Linked DNA regions of Coturnix japonica. The protein of the gene in region 1 binds, or shares a complex with, the protein of each later gene. Links are inferred from orthologs where the notes say so. Each region holds a gene or a part of one and is shown on either strand. Other genes may lie near its edges.

Region 1 (4,146 bases):
ACTCAGCTTGTTAGAATGTCACCATCCTAATAAAAGTGCTCCAAGGGTCAGGGCTCAATCAAACTTCATTACCCACATCCTACCTTGACATTACTATTTCAATTCCAAACAATTATTTATTTGATTCTGTTATGATAATAGCTCATATGGGTTTTTCAAATCCTGAATGACTACATATTCAGTATGTGTTTCGTCTTCTTCATATTTCTCTTCACACATCTGTTTTTCCCCAGATAGTTGGTATCTGAGGTATTTGGACAAGTGGAAAAAGCCCATGTGGCCTAGTGGTATTTCACACCGTTTGTCTCTATCTGTCATTCATCACAGAAAGATGAAATGACCAACACTTTCTGCATTAACTCCAATAACAGAAGGCTTCTGCCATCAGCCACTTCTCTGAAGGATTTGCCATGGGAGCATCTAGGAGACAAGATACATAATATCTTCCATCCACCTATTGGCAGCTGGCAGGTAGGAAAGGTTCCCTTCCATTAAGGAAAAAAAAAGACAAAGATTTAGACGTACACAAGAAAAGAAAGTGGAACAACTGAGACCATACGGCGATTAAACCCCCTAATCCATGTCTCTCTAATTGCAGCACTCTGCAGTGGACAAAAAGGAATCCATTAGATGGAGCCAGGTGCTGACAGCTGGTGCAGGATCCTCCTGTTTTCACCTGATATCAGCCAAGAATGTTCCATCCTAACTTTAATAAAGATGAAGTTGTGTGAAGCCAAATCTTCTCCACTGTATGTTAAAGCTTATAATGTTTTCTGGCATCTTAAACAGAAAGGAATTCCTTGAAGTTCCCTGCAAGAACAGCAAGACCAAAAGCACTGCTATTACTTACAAAAGGTATTCTACATCAATCCTGCCATAGATGTCTTCTGTAAGATGGGTGAAGAGGCCAACAACACCAGGAGCATCGTTTGCCTCCGTCCTTCTGGTGCGGACCACCTCTTTACGTCCACTCAACGAGGTGATCGTCGTCATGTCGGGAACTGCAACTAATAAAAGAAGGGAAACATTGCTGGTCACAGAATGGCAGAATCATTAAGGATGGATAAGATAACGGCTCCAACCGGCAGCCCGTCCCCACAGCGCCTCGTCCGTGTCCCTCAGCGCCGCGCCTCCCGCCCTGACCTCCGAGCCGCAAGGGGGCGCCATTCACGGGCTAAGAGGAAAGCGCGGCGGCCGGAGGATGCGAGGGGCCTGAGGGGCTGCAGGCCGCACCGGGCACTCACCGCTCCGCTACCCGGTAACGCGGAGCGACCATACGCGGCGCTGAGCTGCCCCAAGCTCCGCACCGCCTCTACCGGGACGCAGCACCGTTACTGCGGCAACCACGGCGCTACGTGAGGTGAAAGGTTGAGGGGCGGAGCTGGAGCGGAGAGACGGCAAGATGGCGTCTACGGCGGCCGGAAAGCAGCGCATCCCCAAAGTGGCCAAGGTGTGTGGCGGTCGATGTCTGGGTGAGGCGGGGTTGTGAGGGGGTGGTGGGGAGAGGGTGGTCGGAGCGGCTGGATGCGCTTCTCTGGGCGGCTACGGGTCCTGGAGCGGCCTAGTGGGACGGAAAGTCCCCACTGAGGGCCTGGAGCGTGTCCAGAGAAGGGCAGCGGAGCTGTGAGGGGTCTGGAGCACGAGTGTGATGGGGAGCGGCTGAGGGAACCGGGGTGTGCAGTGTGGGGGAGAGGAGGATCAAGGGAGACATCATGGCTCTGTGCAGCCACCTGACAGGAGGCTGTGTGAGGTGGGGTCGGCCTCTGCCCCCAGGGAACAGCCATGGGACGAGAGGGGATGGCCTCACGTTGTGCCAGGGGAGGTTCATGTTGGCTGTTAGGAACAATTCCTTCTCCACAGAGCAGTGATGCAGTGGCACAGCTGCACAGGAGTGGTGGGGTCTCTCTTCCAACCTTAATGATTCTATGATTCTTAGTGAGCTCCCTGCTCCCCATCTGCTGGGCAGTGGCAGTGATGCCCATCCTTTCTCTCAGGGGCCTCCAAGTCATTCTTCAGCAGAAGGCCCTGGACCAAACTCTTCTTGATGGGGTTTTTTAGTTTTGCATTGGGAAGGGATAACAAACTAAGTGCCATTGATTTACAGGTGAAAAACAAAGCGCCCGCAGAAGTTCAGATCACAGCAGAGCAGCTTTTAAGAGAAGCAAAGGAGAGAGAACTTGAACTTCTTCCACCACCTCCTCAGCAGAAGATCACAGATGTTGAAGAGCTAAATGACTATAAGCTAAGGAAAAGGAAGGTAAAGGGGGAAAAATAACAAGTTTTACATTTCTATAAAGTGCTAAAATTCAATACTTTCTAATATTGAGACAAATAGTTCTTTGTGTTATTACTTGTTTAGTTTTTAGGTTAATAATTCTTAAAACAACTCTCTTTATAGAAAATGTGTTATTTTCATTCAAAAAGTAAGTTATAAAAGAGTGTTGTTTAACAGGATTTGGTAATATACATGATATCAGATCTCTGCATTCTGTGTTTGGAGCGTAGCATAGGTAATTACATGCATTTTTCTTCAATAATTTCCGTCCTGGATGAAAAGAAAGTAAAGCAAGTGTATTCTTAGCAGTGAAGTTGAAATGTTTTTGACTAGAATTACTCGTATGGATGGCAGTTACAAGCCACTGCGTGTTAACTGTGTTAAACCATGTTTGACTGTGATTTATGTATTGATAGCATTGATCCTGACAGTAGCCAAACTCAACACTGGGGATACTGTCACCATTGCACTGAACTGTGAAAGTTGCCTGGGAGATTTGAAGCCATAATATTAAATCCAGGGAATAAACATAAGGTGTCTTGCCTTAAAGAAAGCGATAGAGTGTTGCACGTACACTGATGCATCCAGATATATTCAGGATTGTGCAATGATTGGGTTCCAGCTATTGCTATTGAAACAGCTGATCAGGATGGAACAAATAATAAACAGGTAGCTTTAGTATAGTTGGTTATTATCCCATCACCATTCCAGGTATCCACTTGCAGGAACTCGAATGTAGTCCTTATCTGTGTGACAACCAACATTTCTAGCTGCTCTAAGTGTTGTATTGAATGGTCATTGTTGCTACCACATGTAACACATAATTATTCTAATAATAATAATAATCTGTAAATCGCTTATGAAAAGATTAGTCAGCACCAAGGATGTTTTAACTTACAGATATAACTTTCTCCTCAGACTTTTGAAGATAACATAAGAAAAAACAGAACTGTTATCAGTAACTGGATAAAGTACGCACAATGGGAAGAAAGCTTAAAAGAAATACAGAGGTAATCGTGTTATAGCTGTAGAACTCTTGTAAACCTTTTACGACTCAGTCTGACAAACACTGTCAGTGTTTTGGAGGCACGTTATAAACACAGCTTCTCTTTGCTTTCCAGAGCCCGTTCCATTTACGAGCGTGCTTTAGATGTGGACTACAGAAATGTCACCCTTTGGCTGAAATATGCAGAAATGGAAATGAAGAACCGCCAGGTTAATCACGCCCGAAACATTTGGGATCGAGCTATTACCACCCTGCCCAGGGTGAACCAATTCTGGTATGTCTACAGAGAATGGAGCGTTGCTTTTACCTCAGAGAGTACGGATCATTTTTATATCTCTATATAATGCAAAAGTGTATTGTATTCTCTTTCTGCAGTTCTTTAGGCTGATCCCCAAGGATGTATAAGCTTAATTTTTGAAAGGTCATGTAGTTTTGGAGTGGTAAGGCTATTAAAGAGAAGGATGTTTGTGTATGTGCTTGTTGCCAGTCACAACAGTATGTAGGAAGTGGGGAACAGGTGGTAGAAGTGCCAGTGATGCTCTTAATAAACACTTGAAAAATCCTTGTAATTTGTATGATTGTAAACACTAGATCTTGTTTCCTAAGGTACAAGTACACTTACATGGAAGAGATGCTGGGGAATGTTGCTGGATCACGTCAGGTGTTTGAACGCTGGATGGAATGGCAACCGGAGGAGCAAGCTTGGCATTCCTACATTAACTTCGAGCTGAGATACAAGGAAGTGGATAGGGCACGTACCATTTATGAAAGATATATCCTTTTTAGTGCATTGTGTCTCCTATCCAAATTTAGGCACGAACTCTTTTGTCTCTATTCTACACCGCCTCCTTTTTACTGTGATGTG
Region 2 (4,294 bases), on another chromosome or scaffold:
CAAAAATAGTTCCATCATCATAAATTGAGGGGGAAAAAAAACCAAAACAACACTGTAGTCTCATATTGCTTACTATATAGACTTACGGTAGCCACATTTCTTGCATCCTGCTCTGATGTTATCCTTATTTGCACCTGAAACAGAAAATTTCATCAATCACTTGTTACTAAACATAAGTCTTAAAAGTTCCCTTTAAATCTGGCTTAGTAACTCTTCTGGATTTAGGCAAAGTTGCTCTTTGTGCCTACGCCCTCAGTTAAGAAGATCAGCAAGATCTAACTCACAAGACAAAGCCTGGAGACCTGTTGCCCACAAAAGGATTGCTGAGTCAATTCATAATTCTAAGCAAAACAGCATTTCCAAAATCAAAGGGTATCTTTCTATCCAGTATGAAAAATATGGAAAATTAAACAGTTGTATACACAGCTTTCCATAAAACTAGTTCCTTTATTTAAATAATCAACCTAACATAAGAAGAAAACTATGAAATTAGGGAACCAGAAAGGGGGTACATCAGCATCACGAGTTTAAATTTTGATTTATTAAGAGAAGTACCATCTTTAGTAAATCCTACTAAAAGAACCAGAGGAGCCTTGAAGTCCCATGGTTTGCTGTTGAACTCACAGCAAGGTTCAAGCTTACTCAATTTTCTCCAGTCAAACCCATACCTCAGGATGACACAGGCTGAATACCTGGTGAAATACACAATTTCTGCCCGCGCTGGCTGCACCACTGCTCTTAAACCCTTCATTTAAACAACCTAGCTGCAGGCAGGCGCTAATCTGGGGCACAAGGAGAAAAAAAACATGCGGAACGATGCCATTCTTGGGACCCCTAAGGAAGGCAGCGTACACCTGCAGAAGGCAGGAGCGCAGCCGTGGGCCTCAGCACCCACAAAACTACAGGCGAGGGCCGCATACGGAGCGCAGGAGGGCTGCTGGAGCCCCCAGCCCCGCCGTACCATTGCAGCTCTGCAGGCTGGGAAACGCACCGCAAGCCGCTCCTCGGGCCCCACCACCTCACGAACAGCGCTGCCGACCCTCCCCCTCCGCACGCCTCCCAGCCATCCGCCCCGCAGCCCCGCGGCTCTCCTCACCCGGCAGAGCCATGGCGTCCTCCACACAGCCGGGCCCAGGAACAACGCAGCGCCTGTCCCCGCCGGAAGGATTTGGCCGGAGCACTCTCGGGCCGCGCCACTCGCGGGGAGGACGGGGTGCTCAGTACCGAGCCGGGGCGACGAGAAGCGAGCGGAGGTGTCTGGAAAAGCCTTCACATCCTTTCGGAAAGAATTCACTGAGTGATTCCCCCATCGGAGGAGCAATTCTTTCTCCCACAGCTCTGAGCAGTCACACCTTCCCCCCGCCACATTGTACTGTGTAGAGGCGCCCAAGATGGCGGCGGGCTGCGGGCAGTAGCGCGGGTAGAGAGGCAGTGTTGTTAGCGTTGGGCTCGGGCGGTGCGTTCCGCCACGACACCCCTTCCTCAGCATGAGCAACATCTACATCCAGGAGCCCCCCACCAACGGCAAGGTGAGGATCCTGCGGGCAGCGAGGGCGAGGGGCACGAGTCCGGTGTTATCGCTCTCGGACGCTTATGTTTACCGCTTTGATAGGAATTCGCATTTATTGATCTGTATTGATGTCTCTTGTAATAAGAGCGTGCCGCTAGAGGTTTAAGGCATATTCCTTTTCTGTGTTGTCTCACTGTGGAAATACTAAGAGTATTTAATATTCTACCCTCCGTTAGTTGTCATCCCCCACCAGCTCAGGCTGCCCAGCGCCCCATCCAGCATGGCCTTGACTCCTCCAGGGATGGAGCACCCACTGCTTCTCTGGGCAGTGCCTCACCACCCTCTGAGTAAATAACTTTTGCCACTCAGCCAATCTAAATCTTCTCTCTTCCACTTTAAAACCATCCGCCCTTGTCCTGTCACTAACTACGCATGTAAAAAATTGGTTTCCTTCTTGTTTATATCCTTACTTTAAATACTGGAAGGCTGTAGTGAGGTCTCCCAGGAGCCTTCTCCAGAACAAGTCCGACTCCTGCTTACTACTTATCTACGGCTGTTGTTAATGTTATGAATTTAGGAGTGTTTTTTAACTTAGTAGTAATATTTGTTTATTAGTGTCTAAGTTGCAATAAAACTAATGGTTTGTTTATAAAAATTTTGCAGGTCTTGCTGAGAACTACAGCAGGAGATATCGATATAGAATTGTGGTCAAAAGAAGCACCAAAAGCATGTCGAAATTTTATCCAGCTTTGTATGGAAGGTAATGGCAAAATGGGGTAGGACTTGTTAGAATTATTTCATGTGCAATATTGGTATTTTGGTGACAGTTATGGAAAAGGTAGGTCATAAGTAAGTTTTAATATGTTAACTAATTATTTATATTATCTGCTATCCAGACCAAGAACGTTTTTTTAAAGTCATTAAGGAAACCAATGGATGTGAAAAGTACAATTTTTTGGTGGTTTTCTTAGATGTAGGAGTTGTCACATGTTTAGGAAGGCTTGTCTTCAGGAAGTTTATACAAAGTATTGCAGCTTTAATGAACGTAGAAAATGTCAGTGATGCTGTGTTTGGACTTCTCCTGTTAAGGTCATTCCTGTATCATGTGCTTACTGCATGTTCATTTCTTCATGAGTCACTGATATGTCTGCATAATCTCTATTGAGGTGTGATTTTAGATAACTTAAATGTATTTAATGTATTTTCTCTTTCTTTTTTAGAGTATTACAATAATACAATATTTCACAGAGTTGTGCCAGGTTTTATAGTGCAGGGAGGTGATCCCACTGGTACTGGGTCAGGTGGAGATTCAATCTATGGAGCTCCCTTCAAGGTATGTAGCTGTATATCTTGTGCATGTTGATGTTTGCTTAGTCTCTGGCAGTTGTCCTTGCTACTGTGTGTGAATTTTTTGAGTAAACAAATTTTGTATAAGGAATGCAGTTTATTCTATATTTTATGCTAAAGTTCATTCATATTCTAAATTTGCACATGCTTCAATATTTTTGAATGTGCATTTTAGAATTGAGTGTTCTTAAATCTGTCTGTTTCAGTTCTGTGATAAACGTATAACCCTATTAATGTTCACTTCAACAAGATAAAACTAGGAGAGAAAACTGTTCAGAGCAAGTGTTTTAACTTCATAAAGTTAAACAAGAACAAGTGCAGTGTCCTGCTCCTATATCGGGACAATCCTAAGCACAAGTACAGGCTGAGCAGAGAATGGATTGAGAGCAGCTGTGAGGGGTGCTGGTTGATGAGAAACTCAGTGTGAGCCCACAGTGGGAAATGCAGCCCAGAAGGCTGACTGTATCCTGGGCTTCACTGAAAGGGGGACATGGCTGTCCTCTGCTCTGCCCTCATGAGGCCCCATCTAAACTATTTCATGCAGGTCTAGAGTCTCCAGCACAAGAAGGAACATAGGAAGCAGGCCCAGAGGATGCCACAAAGGTGATCAGAGGGCAGGAGCACATCTGTGAAGAATGGTTAAGGGAGCTGGACTTGTTCAGCTTGGAGAAGAGAGGAGTCTGCAGAGGCCATACAATGGTCTTCCAGTACCTAAAGGGGACCTACAGGAAAGCTGAAGAAGGACTCTTTGTCAGGGAGTGATAAAAGATAGGGGTATTTTGTACAGTAGATTTAAGTTAGACATTAGGAAGAAATTCTTAACTCAGAAAGTGATAAGGCAATGAACAGATGGCCTGCAAAAGCTATGGATGCGTCATCCCTGTGAGTGCTTAAGGCCAGGCTGGATGGGGCTTTGGATAACCCAGTCTAGTGAGAGGTAACCCTGCCCATGACAGGGGGTTGGAACTGGGTGATATATAAGGTCCCAAAGCATTCTATGGATTTGTGTGTCAAACTGAGGAGCAGAAATGTGAGTTATGTACATTTTACCTGAACTGGCAAAGGTCTGTAAATGTAGTCACTAGTATTACTGATAGTAGCACATCTCATCTCTTGGTCAGGGTCTTCAGATTCTGAGTGAGGTTACACATGCACAGTAGCTGTGCTCTAGTTCTGGTTCAGAATTTCAGATAGGGTAAACATCTTTAGCTGGCGACTGAACCTGTGTGACCTTTCTGGGCCTTCAGTCCAACAGCTGTAATTGTAATGCAAATCTGAAGTTTGTGGGAGGGATCGCTGCCTGAGAAAACATCAAAACAAATGTTTCTAATACTGTAGTAACAACACTTCTTTAATTTGGTATTATTGTTAAGTGTGAAAGCACTTAGGAGTTTTATACTACTGTGGTATTAATGCATTACTTATCAATATCATCTT
Region 3 (4,300 bases), on another chromosome or scaffold:
CGCCGGTACCCGCCGGTACCCGCCGATACCCGCCGATACCCGCCGGTACCCGCCGGTACCCGCCGATACCCGCCGGTACCCGCCGGTACCCGCCGCAGCTCACCGAACTCGGCCACGATGGAGGCGAGCCCGCCGTACACGAAGGGTTTCCAGTTCAGCGCGGACATGGCATGGCGGGGCGCGCCGCCGCGCCGGGCCGGACACTGCCTCAACTCCACCCGGAACCGGAAGCGCGGCGGAACGGGAAGCACTGCGCCCCCCAGCCGGGCGGACCCGGCAGCTCGGCCCGCAATTGGGATCCAGCGGCACCGCCCGAGAACGGCGGGGAGGAGACGGGAGAGCGCTGCAGGCACGGGACCGACCGGAACCACCCCGAGAGCAAAGCGCAGCTCAGATCCACTGCTGTGCGCTCCCCATTTCTGTGTCAGCTGCCATCAATGCTCAGTCCAAACAGCACAACCGGACACAAGCAGTGCTCCCAGTCATCTCCTCTGGTTAAAGGATCGATTTTTATTAAAAGGAGTTTAAAACAAAAAACGCCATGAACTGCGATGGCTCAGCAGCCTCTGATATCCATCACATAAACAAAGGAAGCAGGACGGGCTGGGGGCACAAAGCACCGTGCCCGCCTGCAAGCACCCACCGCCCCACTGCAGACAGGGACGCTCCCCCTGAACAACGTGGGCAGTTTCGGTGTCCGTATCCTGCTGCTCAGCACCCCACTGCCCACACTGTGCCGTGAGCCCCTCCACAACCGTCTGAGTGATGCCACTGCACAGAAGGGCCGAGCAAGGCAGCAGCAGAGCCCACATCACAGCCCACAGCACTGAGAGCAACCTGTCTGAGGAGTGAACCGGTCAGAGTGGTGTGTGTGAGACGAGACACAGCTGTGGTACCCTTAGGGCCATAGCAGGAGGCTTCAGACAGGCTCCCGGTGCAGCTCACAGAGCACAGCTGTGGCCCAGAAGGTGCTCACTCCAGGGCTCAGTGACGGCTGGAATCTCTGGTGGATCCACGCTCCCTGTGCTTGGAATGGGGCTCTCTGCTGCTGCTCTCCCGCCGGTGCCTGGATCTGCTTCCCTCAGAACACTCTTCTCGCCAGCTGCTGTGTCCCTCACCCTTCCTGCTGACCTCTCCTCTCTCTTCCCGTGAGCTGTTCTGCCCTCTGTGTTCCTGGGAGCTCTTTTCCCCTCTCCTCCCCGACGACCTTTGGTGTCTCTGCTCTTCCTCATCTCGCTGCGTCCTGCTCACGTGTTTCCTCTCAGACTCACTGCAGGACTGCTGACCCCCACCAGCAGCATATCGCTCGTAGCCAGGATCTTCCTTCTCCTTTTTAATCTTGATTCTCGGATGTGCCTCTTCGGCAGGTGCTGCTCTCTTTGCAGCCTGAGAGCTCTGCTTTTGCCGTTCATGTTTATTCTTCTCTTTATCTGAAACAAAAAGGTCATCCTTAGAGATGGACAGTCCTGCAAGCATCATCCCCACCAGTTCTGCTACAGAGCACCAGAGCTCTGTAGAGAAAGGCTTTATTGGAGCCTTTCTTCTCCCTGTCCCCCACTGTCCTGCCCCCTCCCCCTTGCAACATCCCTGCAGCCCAGCCCAACTCCTTTTCTCCAGGAAGAGTGCCACTATAACCTGCAAAATAAGGATCTCCAGAGGCAGGGGGTGAATGATCATAGATAAATACTGGCAGTGTGACGCAGATCACAGAGGATAAGCCTGGACATTCGGGTTGCATCTGTTTTCAAGAGGATCCCTATCCCTGCTGTACGCTGAGCTAAGAGTCCCTGTAGCCCACACAGATCCTCCCACCCAGGGCAAAGATGGGCAGAAATGCATTTCACCTTTTTGCTTTTGGGCTGGCGTGTCTTCATCCTCCAAGGAGGAATCTGACGACGTATGAGGTGGTGTTTTCACTCCGCAGCCCTTTGCATGGAGGGCTTTTGTGACATCATCTAAATCATCGGAGTCCTTGGGAGTCCGGTAGTTGGCCACGTGGTCCACTCGGATCGTCCTGCCTTTGATCTAGGACAGGAGTCAGGTAGTCAGCAAAGCGTGTGCTGTGGGGCCAGCAGCCGATGGAGCTTCTCTCTGATGTGCTCTGAGCGCTCCAGGAGCTGCTGCAGCCACACAGCTCCATCACTCACCTTGATCCCATTGAAGTTATCAACAGCAAGCACGGTGCTCCTCTGATCCTCATAGCACAAAAAGCAAAACCCTTTGGACTTCCCAGTCTTCTTATCCCGCACCAGATTAATGTTCACCACCTCCCCGTACCTGGAACACACCATCAGCAGCCACAGAGCAGGGCTGGAGGGGCACAGCAAGATGGGGATGGAGCAGGTAGGAACTTACTGCGAGAACACACAGATGACGTCCCCCTCTGTCAGCTGGTAGGGCAGCCCGCCTGCGGGGGGAGACAGGGCAGCGATGGAGGCCCAGCACGGAGCCCAGCACGGAGCCCAGCATGGAGCCCAGCACGGAGCCCAGCACAGGGCCTACCACAGCCCTGCTCTCTCCTCCCTCCCCGTCCCCCCATCGCGGCCTACACGTACCGATGAAGACCCACGCGCTGTCCTTGTACTCGGCGTGCCACGACACCGCCTCGCTCACGCCCAGCTCCGCCTCCCGCGCGTTCAGCTCGTTGATCAGCTTCACTTTGGTCAGCGGGCTGGGGGCGATGCACTCCGTTAGCACCGTTAGCACCGGCCGGTCGCACACCCCCCCCTCACCCAGCCCCCATCCAAACCTACTTCATGGCGGCGGCGGCGCGCACTGCGCATGCGCCCCCCTTACCCCCCCGCCTCCGCCCCCGCCCCGGCCGCGCATGCGCGCCAAGCAAAGCAACGAGTCCGAGGGCTCCGCACAGCTTTATTGGTCGGCGCTCAGCACGGACACGCGCTTTTACCGTGGGCGTCACGTGACGGCTCTAGCTTCTGCGCCCGGCCCGGCCGCTTCTCCATGTCGCGATAGAGCAGCGACTTCTGCGCCTTGAGCCGGCAGGCCAGGCACATGAAGATGGACTCCACGTTCTGGCTCTCTTTAGGGTCCTTGGCCGAGGTTTCGAACAACAGCATGTTGTGAGCGTCGGCGAATTTGAGAGCCATGCCGGACGGCACCTGGATCAGGTCCTTCAAGTCACACTTGTTCCCCACCAGCACTTTGGGGACCAGGGGGGACACGGCGTGAACGTTGCACTCCTCGATCCACATCTTGAGGTTGGTGAAGGACGCCATCTTGGTGACGTCGTACACGAAGACCACGGCGTGCACGTTGCGGTAGTAGTGCTCCACCATGCTCTTCCGGAACCGCTCCTGCCCGGCCGTGTCCCACACCTGCACCTATGGGGCACAACACGGCGTGAGCAGCCATTGCTGCTGCAGGATGCTGTGCTGCTGCTCTGCTCATTGCTGTGCTACAGGGGTGAAAGGCCCCAGCCCGGTGACTTACCTGCCCCATGTTGGTGTACCCAGCCATCATCCCTGTCAAACTGCACACAGCACTGCTCGTGTCAGAACAGACTAACACACCAACCCACCTAATGCTGTGCTGTATGAGGACACTGAAATGATGCTCTGTATCCACAAAGGAGGCAGGGCAAAGAGAGCGGCGTTCCTGCATGGAGCTCTGTCTGGGGGAGGAACCAGGCAAACAATAAGGATTAAAGAGCCGAGAGCCATGGAGACAGGGCAGTGTGCAGCTCCAGCCTGATCAGGGAGAGTAAATGGAAGGTGCCCTCTGCAGACAGATGGGAGTCTCATGTTTGCAGGCTTAGGCCCTTCTGGAGGCCTTCAGCCATTCCAGTGTATGCTGGAGGGGCAACACAGCACAGCTTAAAGCGTGAGATTCCAACTTCAAAACTCAAGTGATAGAAGAGCCAGCGAGGGAAGCTGCTACGCTGGGCCAGCTTCAGCAGGGCAGCTGTGAAGGTAAAGCCAACTCATTAACCAAGAGGTGGCTCTGAAAGAGTCCTGTGGGTCAAGGACCTATAGGAAAATGGGACCAAAGAAAGCTACCCAATACTGATGTGCCTCCACCTCTGAGCTGCCCATGTGAACAAAGAGGAAGTCAAGCAAAAATACCAAGAGGTACAAAGAGGAAGTACAGGGAAGGTGGAAGGTGAGACAAGTGACTTGAGAGGAGTACAGACACAATGTCAGAGCACACGGGGAGGTGGTTTAGAAAGAAATACAGCTGGCACTATATGTGACAAGAGATGTTAAAGGCACCAGGAATGGCTTTTCCAAGTCTATAGGGGACAAAAAGAAGGCTAGGGACACATGAATATAGCTTCTGACAC
Region 4 (4,046 bases), on another chromosome or scaffold:
ATGCAATGGGGATGCAATGGGGATCAGTGGGGGACTCTATAGGGGCTCTGGGGATGCAATTGGGGGCTCCATAGGGCTCTGGGGATGCAATGGGGATCAGTGGGGGGCCCTGGGGATGCAATGGGGGGCTCTATGGGGGCTCTGGGGATAGAAAGAGGATCAGTGGGGGACTCTATAGGGACTCTGGGTATACAATGGGGATCAATGGGGGACTCCATAGGGCACTGTGGATGCAATGGGGGGCTCTATAGGGCCCTGGGGATGCAATGGGGGACTCTATAGGGGCTCTGGGGATGCAATGGGGACCAGTGGGGGGCACTGGGGATGCAATGGGGGACTCTATAGGGGCTCTGAGGATTCAATAGGGATCAGTGGGGGACTCTATAGGGGCAGTGGGGATCAATAGGGATCAATGGGATCAATAGGGATCAATAGGGATCAATAGGGATCAATGGGGAGCAATAGGGATCAATGGGGGACTCTATAGGGGCTCTGAGGATTCAATAGGGATCAGTGGGGGCTCTATAGGACCCTGGCTATACAAGGGGATCATTGTGTTGCTCTATGTGGGGCCAAACATGGTCCCCCCCCCGTCCTCTCTCACCTGTCCGTGCTCCGCCCTGAGGCCTCATTGGGGGCGGTGAGGCCGGAGGCCGCGGATCCACTGGGCCGAGCGGCGGCGGGAGGAAGGGGCGGCCTACCCGGAGGTGTTTACTGACACGGAGCTGCTGGTAGGAACACAGGCTGTACTGGAAGGACGAGCTGAAGAGCCCCGAGCGGGGCACACGGGCCGAGGACAGCGGGATTTGGTACCAGCGGAGCAGCCCCGCCCGCTGACCTCGTCGCGCCGACGTCCCGCGCAACATGGCGGCCATGGGCGGGCGGGGTGAGAGAAAAGGGCGGGCTCTCCTCAGAAAGGCGGCGCTACCAAGTGCGGCTACTAACGGCGGGATTGGCCGTTTAACTGCCGACAGGAGCCCGGCAGCCAATCGCGGCTCGAGGGTTCGACCAATCAGCGCGCGCGCTGAACGGGATTGGTTAAAGAAGAGAAGTGTCCCGCCCACCTGTGCTCTCAGCCAATCAGAAGGGGTGGAGAGTGTCCCCGCCCCCCACCTCCCGCGGTGCATGCTGGGAGCTGCAGTCAACGGGCCTCTGCCGCGGTGCATGCTGGGAGCTGCAGTCAACGGGCCCCTGCCGTGGTGCATGCTGGGAGGCCTTGTGCGGAACCTCTTCCGGGATCGGGCTGTTTCCGCTTCCGTTGTTTCCGCTTCCGCCGGAAGTTCAGCTCCAGGGCCTGTTCCCGTGCACGGCGGTGGCGGGGCGGCAACATGGCGGACGTGACCGCTCGCAGCCTGCAGTACGAGTACAAGGCGGTGAGTGCCGGCTCGGGGCCTGTGCGCGGTGGGGATGCCGGCCTCATTCCTCCGGGCCTTCCCCGTCTAACGGGGGCCAATATGGCGGATCTCGTATAGTGAGGCCTTGTCGGGCCTTGTGTGGCCTGTGGTGATTTAAACCGGGCCTGTTTGAAGCCGGGGGCTTTAAGAGATGGTTGGAGGTGCGGCCTGCGTCCCTTATGGGCGGTGGGGGCTGCTGGATATAGGGCTGTGGGGAGGATAATAGGGGCTATGGGAGGATATAGGGCTGTGGGGTGGGGGTAATAGGGGCTGTAAGAAGGATATAGGGCTGTGGGGAGGATATAGGGGCTGTAGGATGCTTATAGGGCTGTAGGATGCTTATAGGGCTGTAGGATGCTTATAGGGCTGTGGAGGGATATAGGGCTGTGGGGAGAATACTGGGGTATGGGAAGGGTAATAAGGGCTGTGGGGAGGGTATTGGGCTGTAGGAAGAAAAATAAGGACTGTGGGAGGATATAGGGCTGTAGGAAGGATATTGGGGTATAGGAAGGGTAATAAGGGTTATGGGAGGAATGTAGGGCTGTGAGAAGGATGTTGGGCTGTGGGGAGGGATATAGGGCTGTGGGGTGGATATTGGGGTATGGGAAGGGTAATAGGGGCTGTGGGGAGGATATAGGGGCTGTAGGATGGCTATAGGGCTGTGGGGGGGTAATAAGGGCCGTGGGGAGGATATAGGGCTGTGGAAGGATATAGGGCTGTGGGGGGGAAAATAAGGGTTGTAGGATGGATATAGGGCTGTGGGGGGGTGATAAAGGCTGTGGGGAGGGTATTGGGGTATGGGAAGGATAATAAGGGCTGTGGGGATGATATAGGACTGTAGGAAGGATATAGGGCTGTGGGGAGGATAATAAGGGCTGTGGGAGGATATAGGGCTGTGGGAGGGATATTGGGCTGTGGGGAAGGTAATAAGGGTTCTAGGAAAGATATAGGGCTGTGGGGAGGATAATAGGGGCTGTGGGAGGGATATAGGGCTGTGTAATAAGGCTGTAGGAACATAAAGGCTCCACCTGATGCATTGTGACCCCCATCCCCCCCCCAGAACTCCAACCTCGTGCTCCAAGCTGACCGTTCTCTCATTGACCGGACGCGACGCGATGAACCCACGGGTGAAGTGTTGTCCCTGGTGGGTAAATTGGAAGGGACGCGGATGGGAGACAAGGCGCAGCGCACCAAGCCACAGATGCAGGAGGAGCGACGGGCCAAGTGAGAGCTGAGCGGGGCCTGGGGGTGGGAGGGGGCTCTGAGGGGGCTGTGGGGCTTCAGTGGTTATAAGCAATGTGGAATCACACAGTGATGGAGGTTGGGAAAGAGCTGTGAGGTGATGGATCCCAATTGGTGCATACACCACTGAGTGGTGGCATTGAGTGGTGGTATCGTGTTGGTGTATGGTCAGATACCAACATATATGGTTGTTATATGTGGTTGAGTTGTGGGTCCTCAGAGCCCCCCCAGGTTCATCTCCTGCCCTGGTGCCCCCCTCCAGCTTATACCCAACACAACTTCAGTCGCCTTTGGCACCTCCAGGGTTGGGGCACCCACAGCTCCTCTGTTCCACCACCCTCATAGTGAAGAAGGTGACCCTAAATCTCCCCTCTTTTACCCCAAAGCCGTTCCCATATCCATCAGCCCATCCCCAAGCACCACATACACACACCTTTTGATCCTTCAGCATCCTTCACAGCTTTCCCAATGTAGAAATACTTCCCCTCGACCAAAACTTCCCCAATTCAACCCAGGGCTGGGGTCTCTTGTGATGCTGTGGGATAAAAGATCAACCCCCCCTCACTGCTGTGTCCTCCTTTGAGGCAGATATGGAGTTTCTCCTTTTCTCTCCAGGCTAAATAACCCCATTCCCTAAGCTGCTCATTGTAAACTGGCTCCAGACCCTTTGCAGCTTCATTCTCTCTCCTTGTCGGGAAGCGAAAAGTGAAAGGAAAAGGGCTAAAAAGGAGGAAAAACGGGGCAGAGTTTACCTTTATTTTTAACAAAGGGAAGGCCCACGCTTTGCTGTCCAGCATTACTGGGATTCCCTGCTTTGAGCTGCTATGGGTGCTCTCTGTTTGCAGGAGGAGGAAGCGCGATGAGGACAGACACGACATCAACAAGATGAAGGGTTACACTCTGCTGTCCGAGGGCATCGACGAGATGGTGGGGATCATCTACAAGCCTAAAACCAAAGAGACACGGGAGACCTACGAGGTGTTGCTGAGCTTCATCCAGGCTGCCCTCGGGGACCAGGTGAGGAGCTGGATGTGTGTGATGGGGGCACATCCATATCACAAGGGGGATAATATCTGTGCCATAATATCTGCCCCTATGGTGATCTCCTGCTTATGTGGCTGCTGGTTGTTCCCCAGCCACGAGACATTCTGTGTGGAGCTGCTGATGAAGTGCTGGCAGTGCTGAAGAACGAGAAGCTGCGTGATAAGGAGAGACGTAAAGAGATCGATCTGCTGCTGGGCCAGACTGACGACACCCGTTATCACGTGCTGGTGAACCTGGGCAAGAAGATCACGGATTATGGTGGTGACAAGGAGATCCAGAACATGGGTATGGACAGATTATGGTGACAAGAAGATTTAGAACATGGGTATGGGCACAGATTGTGATAGTGACAATGAGATTCAGATC

Evidence for each region.
Region 2: CRNKL1 (region 1) and spliceosome-associated protein CWC27 homolog share a complex: the UniProt entries of both Homo sapiens proteins name them as parts of the minor spliceosome. The link is inferred for Coturnix japonica from reciprocal best matches to the Homo sapiens genes CRNKL1 and CWC27.
Region 3: CRNKL1 (region 1) and RBMX2 share a complex: the UniProt entries of both Homo sapiens proteins name them as parts of the minor spliceosome. The link is inferred for Coturnix japonica from reciprocal best matches to the Homo sapiens genes CRNKL1 and RBMX2.
Region 4: CRNKL1 (region 1) and SNRNP200 share a complex: the UniProt entries of both Homo sapiens proteins name them as parts of the minor spliceosome. The link is inferred for Coturnix japonica from reciprocal best matches to the Homo sapiens genes CRNKL1 and SNRNP200.

The regions. Positions count from the first base shown.
Region 1 is NC_029518.1:3,888,540-3,892,685, reverse strand, and holds the start of CRNKL1 (crooked neck-like protein 1), read left to right. Parts: upstream 1-1,340; 5' UTR 1,341-1,402; coding exon 1,403-1,450; intron 1,451-2,104; coding exon 2,105-2,257; intron 2,258-3,193; coding exon 3,194-3,285; intron 3,286-3,396; coding exon 3,397-3,555; intron 3,556-3,887; coding exon 3,888-4,054; intron 4,055-4,146. Other genes in the region: CFAP61 (cilia- and flagella-associated protein 61), read right to left, coding at 851-993. UniProt on the Homo sapiens protein: Involved in pre-mRNA splicing process. As a component of the minor spliceosome, involved in the splicing of U12-type introns in pre-mRNAs.
Region 2 is NC_029547.1:21,417,249-21,421,542, forward strand, and holds the start of spliceosome-associated protein CWC27 homolog, read left to right. Parts: upstream 1-1,487; coding exon 1,488-1,529; intron 1,530-2,173; coding exon 2,174-2,270; intron 2,271-2,730; coding exon 2,731-2,843; intron 2,844-4,294. Other genes in the region: protein SREK1IP1, read right to left, coding at 74-134, 1,097-1,498. UniProt on the Homo sapiens protein: As part of the spliceosome, plays a role in pre-mRNA splicing. Probable inactive PPIase with no peptidyl-prolyl cis-trans isomerase activity. As a component of the minor spliceosome, involved in the splicing of U12-type introns in pre-mRNAs.
Region 3 is NC_029519.1:1,522,338-1,526,637, forward strand, and holds RBMX2 (RNA-binding motif protein, X-linked 2), read right to left. Parts: upstream 2,808-4,300; 5' UTR 2,759-2,807; coding exon 2,754-2,758; intron 2,672-2,753; coding exon 2,556-2,671; intron 2,408-2,555; coding exon 2,356-2,407; intron 2,278-2,355; coding exon 2,148-2,277; intron 2,026-2,147; coding exon 1,845-2,025; intron 1,431-1,844; coding exon 985-1,430; 3' UTR 477-984; downstream 1-476. Other genes in the region: SLC25A14 (brain mitochondrial carrier protein 1), read right to left, coding at 104-167; RAB33A (ras-related protein Rab-33A), read right to left, coding at 2,886-3,341. UniProt on the Homo sapiens protein: Involved in pre-mRNA splicing as component of the activated spliceosome. As a component of the minor spliceosome, involved in the splicing of U12-type introns in pre-mRNAs.
Region 4 is NC_029537.1:1,058,104-1,062,149, reverse strand, and holds the start of SNRNP200 (U5 small nuclear ribonucleoprotein 200 kDa helicase), read left to right. Parts: upstream 1-1,239; 5' UTR 1,240-1,328; coding exon 1,329-1,373; intron 1,374-2,454; coding exon 2,455-2,618; intron 2,619-3,481; coding exon 3,482-3,653; intron 3,654-3,772; coding exon 3,773-3,965; intron 3,966-4,046. Other genes in the region: protein FAM178B, read right to left, coding at 605-875. UniProt on the Homo sapiens protein: Catalyzes the ATP-dependent unwinding of U4/U6 RNA duplices, an essential step in the assembly of a catalytically active spliceosome. Plays a role in pre-mRNA splicing as a core component of precatalytic, catalytic and postcatalytic spliceosomal complexes.